2 linked regions of the Danio rerio genome follow. The protein of the gene in region 2 binds, or shares a complex with, the protein of the main gene of each other region. Links are inferred from orthologs where the notes say so. Each region holds a gene or a part of one and is shown on either strand. Other genes may lie near its edges.

Region 1 (4,552 bases), on a different chromosome or scaffold from region 2:
CTGAAAGTTCAATGCAAAGGGGAGACATTGGCTTTTACAGAGTTAGCTTAGCAAAGCCTACAGCGAACAAAGTTTGAGGACTACAAAAAATACATCCAGGCTAGTGAGATCACAAACACTTCAGTTTACGCACCACTGCACTCTGCGCAGTGAAGGCACGTGGCCAAAGGCATTGTAATGTTATAGCAGAGAAAGCTAAAATGCCGTCCAAACACTGCTTTACCAGGCAGCTTGTTCTGTTCCTGTATTTGGGCTACTAAAGGACACGACACAAAGAGAGAAGTTCTTACAGTTTATTTTAATTATGTTCCAGAGAATTAAAAAAATATATAGCTAGCATTTGTGGGTTGCTTTGAATTGTTAGCCACAACCTGTAAGTGTTTTTATTTGTTAAAATTGATCAATTATATGCATTGTTTCAAGCGTTAAGGGTATGTTACAGCAAGAACGTAAACAAGGATGTAACAACAGGAAATGCTGTTTGGCATTATTAACTATTCAGCTACAAATTCATATTTTTCCATCAAACCGCTGTAAACACCCACAATTTTCAGCAGCGCTGCAGTGTCTTTCTATGCGGTGCTTTCCCTGCGTTCTACATCTGAATATGTGTGAAAGACACTTGTCAGATCTTACTTTAGAGAGCAGGTGTGAGGTTCAGCTGTCTTCTCTGTGTCATTTTCTGACTGATTCAGGCACAAACTGATGGACAGTATTTACACAGCTGAGGCAAAGTGCGTGCTTGTAGAGGTGTGACGCTTTTCCTGTTGACGTGGAGCCGATACACGAATCACAGCACATTATATTAGCTGACCAATCAGAGCCTCTTGAGGGCGGCCCTTTTGGAGGAGCTAGGAAATATGACAGTTGTTTTCATTTTAGCTGAGTAGCTGTATATAATCAAATTAAGATATATGAAAAAGTAACGTGATTTTCTACAAATGAAGCATGAGCACACATTGCTTTGCATTTTTATAAATGCATCCAAGCCTTAAAAATACACTCTGGACCACCTCTTTAATAGAGATATTGGAACTTTAACACAAACTGAATGCTAAACTGAGTGAGTATAGCCTAAAACAACAAACAAAAAGCAGCTCCAAAAATATCCATCATTTACAGCTTTTAAATCCTTTAACAAACTGCAATCAATGTTTCTATTGTTTATGTGGCAGTAATTCTGCAAATGGTGGCATGTGTGCCACAGGTTTATAAACCCTGCGCTACAGAATTCTTTTGAAATCAAATGTTTATTTAAATATTAGTTTGAAGTAAAATGATATTCAATGTTGCAGTTACAGCTTTAGGTACGTTACCTACACTAATGAAATGAAGCGTATGCAGATCACTTTAGAAATGAAAAATATGTCGTAAGACTAAAATAAAATTCTACACTCAGTTAAATTTTTTGACATTAATGTCAACATTTTAGCAGCAAGATTTAAATCATAATCTACAATCTTTATTTAGTTAGCAAGCTTATTGAAAGCAGTAAAACAAAAACTGGACCTACCCCCCAATTTAAAACATCTAAGGTCACTTTGGTTTGTTTTATGATTTTTTTTTTAAGTGTTAACCAGACCCTCCAGGATTTTGTGATTCCAAAATCTCTGCAAACCTAAAATCAAGCAAATGCCAAAGTTTTGAGAGTTTGAAGTTTGAGAATTCCAGCCATGCCAGAGCGTCATCTGCTTAGTCATTCAAAACAAACTAGGTCACGTGAGTTATATCACTCACTAAACTTTTACATATTATGTATATATGCATCCTGTTGTCATAGGAGTAGCCCTCCTCTCTCTCTCTCTCTTACACACACACAATGTTAAATGGGTGTAGGTGGGGAACTCAGTCAGTCTGTATTTTTAGGGGGTAATATTTCCTCTGTCAGTTTTTTGGCAGATAGCTACACAAACTCTTTTGTTTTCCATCTTTTTCTAGGCTACATCCCTAGCGCTGGGATTCCCCTTCAGAAACAGCTGGAACATGCTAACCAGCAGTCCGGCTTCACAGACTCTGTAAGTGGAGATGGTCAGGAAGTGCATTTCTTTCAAACTACGTCAACTCAGTGGAGGGATTCAGCTGTGTTTGTGTAATTAAATTAAAGCATGATTCCCATTGATGTTTTCAGAGTCCCCTGAGGCCCATGCACCCACAGGCTCTTCATGTCAGCGCTGCGAGTTTGCTGTCCACTCCTCCTATTGCTGTGCAGATTCCTCCTGGCAAGGTCAGAGCCACAACCACCGCATGAAATCTGTATTGCCACAGTCTTGATTTTGCAGCATTGGAGATATTAGGCTTTGCTGTACTATAATTGTTTTAATGTAAAGATGATTAAAATGGATGCTTTGTATTGCTTTTGTGGCCTGTTCAACATTTAAAAAAACCTTTGCTCTGTTCTTTTTTATAGTCTGGCATATCTTATACACATTCGCAAAGGCCAGCATCTCCAGGTGCATTTTCCCATGGAACGCCCTCACAGCAAGCACATGCAGTAAGTTTCTTTATACTATATCTTGTATTTATGTATATTTATACACTACTGTTTATAGAATAAGTGAGGTATTTTGATTCAGCAAGGTCACAGCAAATGGTTAAAGAAATAATTTATTACTATTTTAAAAAAAGGTTCCATTTTAAAACTTAAATGTAATGAATAAAACTATTCCTATTCTGTTTAAACAGAATTTTAAGTATGCATTACTCCAGTTCTTGTTGTTTTTTTATGTTTCGATATACATATACCTCTCTTTTATTTACTTTTTTTTTTACTTTGCCCATTGTCTCTACACCTTGAAAATATTACCAACCTCACAAGTTTGAATGATAGTATGTATGATATCTGACTGAGAAAGTCTAAATGTATAGTTTTTTTTTAATGAACCAATAATTGCTGGAAGAATTTAGTATTCCAGTGATGTACAGAGCTGTGCAAAAGTTTTAGGCCACTAGTATTTCCACAAAAAAGGTTTAAAATCTACCTGAAAAACTATGGGCAAATGTTTTAAATGCAAAGTTTTGTCATGCTTTAGTAATTAAGTTAATTGATAAAATGTACTTATGCATTATTTTTTGAAAGCATCCTCATTTTACAGTATTTTCACACACATGTACTGTTTGTGAAAATCTTAGAGCAACTTAGAGATCTTGCCAAAGTTCTTCTGAACTCAGTTTCTCTTAGTTTGTTCTGTTTCTCTGGAAGCCATTTAAGACAGACTGGATAATGATCAGATCAGATCTCTGTGTGGAGCACTGACTCTTAGCAGACTCCTTGTGTAGTCAATATTCTCCATGTGTAAATACAATTCATGAAAACAATAATATTTGGAAATGGAAATTGATTTTTCAAACTGACAAAAATATAGAAACAAATGACTTCTAGTATTTTTACAAAAAAAAAAAAAAAAAAGTTTAACGTCAGTTATTTCTATATTTTTGTCAGTTTGAAAAATCTATTTCCATTTCCAAGTGGAAATAATGCATATACTTGAGACAACCACATTTTAAAGGTGGACGCATTAATATATTTTAGTAAATTAACCAAATTAACATTTGGTATGACAAAACTTTGCATTTAAAACACTTGATACACTTGCCCATAGTTTTTCAGGTAGCTTTATATTTCAAACTGACATGCGACAGAAAAATAAAGAAATAACCAACTTTAAACCTTTTTTTTTTTTTTGGTGAAAATACTAGTGGCCTAACACTTTTGCACAGCACTGTATGTATGTATGTATAAAGAAAGTGCAGTGCTTCCCACACAAACTTTACTTGAGCGGCTGCCCAGGTATAACTAGTGACACATATTTTTTTTACTATTATTATGATCTTTTTATACGTTTTTTTTTTTTTTTTTTTGTATCTGCGCAACATAACCAAACATCTGCGATCAATTAAGTACTGGAAAATCTTCTTCACTTGCGTGAACTGTCAACACTCCCACAGACAGTCTCACGTGCTCTGCAGACCCATAAAGACGCACCTTTTTGGCACTTAAATTCGTCTAAATCTCCTAAAATGTCCAGGATTCATCTTTTGATTTGGCTTTTGAAAACTTGTATGCCTTTTTGCATTAACTTCTAACTTAAGCCTACTTTCGCTTGGCTTGTCGTGAGAGAAACATTAAATAATTTATTTTTAAAAGTCTAAGCGACTCAGAAAAACTTTCCTATAGACTCAAAGAGGATGAAATGACTGCTCTAATCTGGCTGCAAAATATATGAACACCTTTAGTAATGATTAATCAACACATTTGGTTAATCTACATATTTTAATCTTGTCATTTTGATTATTTTTAGAGTATTGTCTGTTTTTATTCCCTTTTCTGTCATTTATTTCTCATTTATTTTATGTTAATCTATTACATAGGCTATTCTATATACATATCTAAAATGCTTTGCCATTCAAGTTTACTTTGAACCTGAAAGAAGCAGACTTTACCCGCCAATGGGTGCACATGGCTCCTGAATAGCATAAATGTAGGAGAAATGGTGAATTTCTTTTTTATTCCAACAGTCTTTTTTCACTCATCGAAAAGAAATCGTCTCATTAT
Region 2 (4,552 bases):
AGGGAATGTACTTGACATCAAATGGAATCACTTTAATGACTTCTGCATAGCATCTTGTTCAGAGGACGCCACAGTAAGTGTAAACAAACTTCGACTCCAAAGATTTGATTCCTCCACTTTGAAGAGCCCTGGTGCACTTAACTCCAGCACTAGAATCGACGTCTGACATTTGTTCACTAATCATCTAATGTGTATGTAGTGCATAGCTGTTAAATGCAAATAATCAATGATAAACAACTGAAATGAAGCCAGGAATTCAAACAATTCAAACAGAGATTGAGCAAAACTTCTTTGTTCTACATGAAGGAAACTTTAGAAATAAACAACAGTCATGTTGACTACTTTGTAATTATGCACACCTCTATGATAGCTTTGCATTTTAACGTATGTTATTTTAATGTAACATAATATAGCATGCATCTGGTTTTCTATTATTTGAATTTAAATTCATTCATTCATTTTCCTTCGACTTAGTCCCTTTATTCTTCTGGGCTCACCACAGTGGAATGAACCACCAACTTATCAAGAATATGTTTTACACAGCGGATGCCCTTCCGGCTGCAACCCAGTACTGGGAAACATCCATACTTATACACACACATACATTATGGCCAGTTTGATTTATTTAATTCAACAAAACCACATGTCTTTGGACTGTGGGGTAAACTGGAACATCCGGAGGACACCCACGCGATCACAGGGGGAACATGCAAACTCCACACAGAAATGCCAACTGACCCATAAAATATATAATTTAAATGAAATACATCATTTAAAACACTTTATTTTAATGTACAATTTTCACTGTTAATAAACATTTAACTTTGGATTTGCCTCAATAAATTCTAATCGTAGCTATTAATAGTAATAAGTTTGTTAGGTTACGGTTGTGGAATAAATTCATGTAGGATATGTGCTTTATAAGTACTAATAGGGCGACGCGGTGGCGCATTAAGTAGTGCTGTCCCCTCACAGCAAGAGGGTTGCTGGTTTGAGCCTCGGCTGGGTCAGTTGACATTTCTGTGTGGAGTTTGCATGTTCTCCCCGTGTTCGAGTGGGTTTCCTTTGGGTGCTCCAGTTTCCCCCCTAAGCCCAAAGACATGCGGTACAGGTAAATTGGGTATGCTAAATTGTCCATAGTGTATTGTATGTGTCTGAATGAGAGTATATGGGTGTTTCCCAGTGATGGGTTTTATGTGCTCGATAAGTTGGCGGTTCATTCCACTGTGGCGACCCCAGATTAATAAAGGGACTAAGCCGAATAAATGAATAAATAAAATGAAAATAAATGAATGAATAAGTACTAATAAACAGCCGATACTTAGTAGTAGTCATGTGCCACCAGTTTTTGTACTTAAACTAAAGTGTTACCTAAATTTTTACATCCACTGCATGTTATTTTGAAAATCAAAGGTGTTTAAGAAGTTTTTAAGACTTAATCAAACCGAATATTGAGATGGAAAATGTAAATAAAGAATACCCAATTTTTCATGTATTTATTCTTCATGGATAATATTTGACTATAGCAGAAAAACACATGGGCAACATATAAATAACCAAGGCAATACAGTAGCTGTTTATCATTATCAGTTAATGCTACAGCAAAATTTGACTAATTTAACATTTATCCTAAAAGATGGTGTATTGCTTAAGAATGGGAGTGTTCTTAAAAGAGAAGCAATGCAATATTTGTACCTTTTTGATTAAGTTGCTAATTTATATAACTTTATGTGTACATTTTCGCACAATGTGCTCATCCCCAATGAGGGTTAGGTTTATTTTGTGGGACTTTTTAAACAATATTTAAAATAGTTATATTTCCTAGTGAGATTGGGCTGGTAAAAAAATGTAAAAATATATTAAATGTGCAATAATAACTTAAGTATTAGAGTATTATTACTGGTTTTGATGTAAAGTAAAAGGAGTCAAAGACTCAACTCATTAAAAACCTGGAATTGAACACATTGTGCATAGTTCTTTGCCTTTCAGACTTAAAACTTCTACATACAATCCAGTAGCTGAATTTAGATGGGTACCTTTGATATTCTGTAACTTTGTTCTCACATTTTTACAACTTTATGATGTGTGTGCATGTTTGCTGTTCAGGTGAAAATCTGGGAAATCCCTGAACATGGTGTTTTGAAGACCATCACAGTGCCTTGGAAAGAGCTGCAGGGTCATTCTCGACGTGTAGGCCTCATTGAGTGGCATCCCACTGCCAACAACATCATTTTCAGCACCGGCTATGACTATCAGGTACTTCAGCTATACTTACAATTAGTCGTGGAATGAAGGTAGACAAGATTTCAGTAAACTGGCCCTCTGGTAGACATTTCAAGTATTCACAGTGCTAACATCTCAGCGAACACCACCACAAGTTGTATCATGTATAACTCTGCTTGTTGTAAGCAATTTTGTAAGGTAGAAACTTTCCCTTCAGAGCTGAAATAGTTGTATTCAGGGCTTAAAATGAAAACTCTCCATTGCAAGTTTGTTTTAGCAGCTAAATGAAAGCTAAAACTAAGACTAAATCTATCGTTCAAAAACATATTTTTTTTAGCCAAAATAAATAAAATATTCACAATAAATGAACAGCTAAAACAAACAATAGTCACTGAAAAACATGAAATAACATTTAGCAAAAAAGTTAATTGTTTCATTCTGACATGTGGCTGTTTATAGACATACCTGTAGATGGCGCTTTTACAACCAAAAGACAAAGTCAAACTCATCAATACACAAACATCTCAGTAAATAGTACATGTGCCCTGTCTATTCTTCATCTGCCAAAATGTAAACTAGGCAAGCTTAACTAAATATGTGATCTTTAGCATGAAGAGGTTCATCATTTCTTTATAATACAAAGTTTGCTTTTATTTGATTATTTTAAGTGGCATTCGTATTTATGTATTGGTGTTTGGTTTAGTATTCATTATTTTATATTCATTACTAAGAGGTTTGCAGAAGAGATCATGTAAACTGTCCAAACATTAAACTTTGCTGGACATGTTCTTTTAACTGTTAATTTATTAATGTATTCTACAATTACAGAAACTAAATATATGAAAACTAAATAGAAATGTGTTTACAAAATAAAACCTAAACAAAAACTAACAAAACCACAACTAAACTGAAATTTATAGCAAACTTAAAAATAGAATCAAAATAAAGATCTAATTTAAAAATGTAAAAATAAATTAACCTTTGTTGCCATCGCCTGTAAGCACAAAATAGGAGAAAAAATTATGTTGACAAGTTTTTAAGTAATTCCTATGCAACGGTGATAATGCCGTAGGATTTAGTGTGATTATTATCAAATTACAAATAAGTCCTTGTAATGATATGAATATGTGACATGATGCACAATGCTGATCTTTGAGCAAAATAACAGAAAAATTTACTTTGTGTAGTTAAATGTTTGAAACACAAAACATCAATATATATCAATATTAGTTTTGTAAATTCATTGTGGTTTTAATATAATAATAAGATAATTTAATATAATAATTATAACAATAATTACATTTACAGATTATCCCGCATGTATTAGTATTATAATAAGGGTCTAAAATTCTAATACAGTTGAAGTCAGAATTATTAGCCCTCCTGAATTATTAGACCCCTTGTTTATTTTTTCCTTAATTTCTGTTTACGGAAAGTTAACATTTCTTTACATTTCTGTTTACATTTCTAATCATAATAGTTTTAATAACTCATCGCTAATAGCTGATTTATTTTAACTTTGCCTTGATGACAGTAAATAATATTTTACTAGATATATTTTTAAGACACTTATACAGCTTAAAGTGATATTTAAAAGCTTAACTAGGTTAATAAGGTTAACTAGGCAGGTTAGGGTAATTAGGCAAATCATTGCATAATAATGGTTTGTTCTGTAGTAGACTATCGAAAAAAAATATAGCTTAAAGGGGCTAATAATTTTGTCCCTAAAATGGATTTTAATAAATTAAAAGCTACTTTTATATTAGCCAAAATAAAACAATTAAGAATTTCTCTAGAAGAAAAAGTATTATCAGACATACTGTGAAAATTTGTTTTGCTCTGTCAAACATCATTTGGGAAATATTTAAAAAAGAAAAAAAATTCAAAGGGGGCCTAATAATTCTGACTTCAACTGCATACCATTAGAAGTTACCATTTTGTTAAATGTTTTTCCTTTACTTTACTGCAGATGAGATAGTGGTATACTTCAATTAAACTGATCCAAAAGTCTGCAGCGACCTTGTTAATATTTAAAGAAAAAGATCTCCTAAATAAATGATTATAGCTAGAGGAGCAGCATTCCTAAATTGCTGATATATATCTACCTTATTTTTCATGCATTAACGAGTGCAGCCATTTATAAATTTAATGTGTCTGGCTTCTGGTGTCATTTGCTTTCAGTTATTTTTAGCTCTACAAAACAGCCTGTAATGCTGCTTGATGCTTGTGAGTTGGGAAAATGGTGGAAAGCAGATGTGAGACACTTTGTGTTACTATTATTGAAACTCATTTTCCAATATGCATTCTAAAAAAAAACTGTTTAAAAAAT

Evidence for each region. The genes of interacting proteins can lie anywhere in the genome.
Region 1: coro2aa (region 2) and gps2 share a complex: the UniProt entries of both Homo sapiens proteins name them as parts of the N-Cor repressor complex. The link is inferred for Danio rerio from reciprocal best matches to the Homo sapiens genes CORO2A and GPS2.

What each region holds. Positions count from the first base shown.
Region 1 is NC_133180.1:24,725,416-24,729,967, forward strand, and holds part of gps2 (G protein pathway suppressor 2), read left to right. Parts: intron 1-1,938; coding exon 1,939-2,015; intron 2,016-2,128; coding exon 2,129-2,224; intron 2,225-2,407; coding exon 2,408-2,491; intron 2,492-4,552. UniProt on the Homo sapiens protein: Key regulator of inflammation, lipid metabolism and mitochondrion homeostasis that acts by inhibiting the activity of the ubiquitin-conjugating enzyme UBE2N/Ubc13, thereby inhibiting 'Lys-63'-linked ubiquitination.
Region 2 is NC_133176.1:28,274,395-28,278,946, forward strand, and holds part of coro2aa (coronin-2A), read left to right. Parts: coding exon 1-73; intron 74-2,106; coding exon 2,107-2,256; intron 2,257-4,552.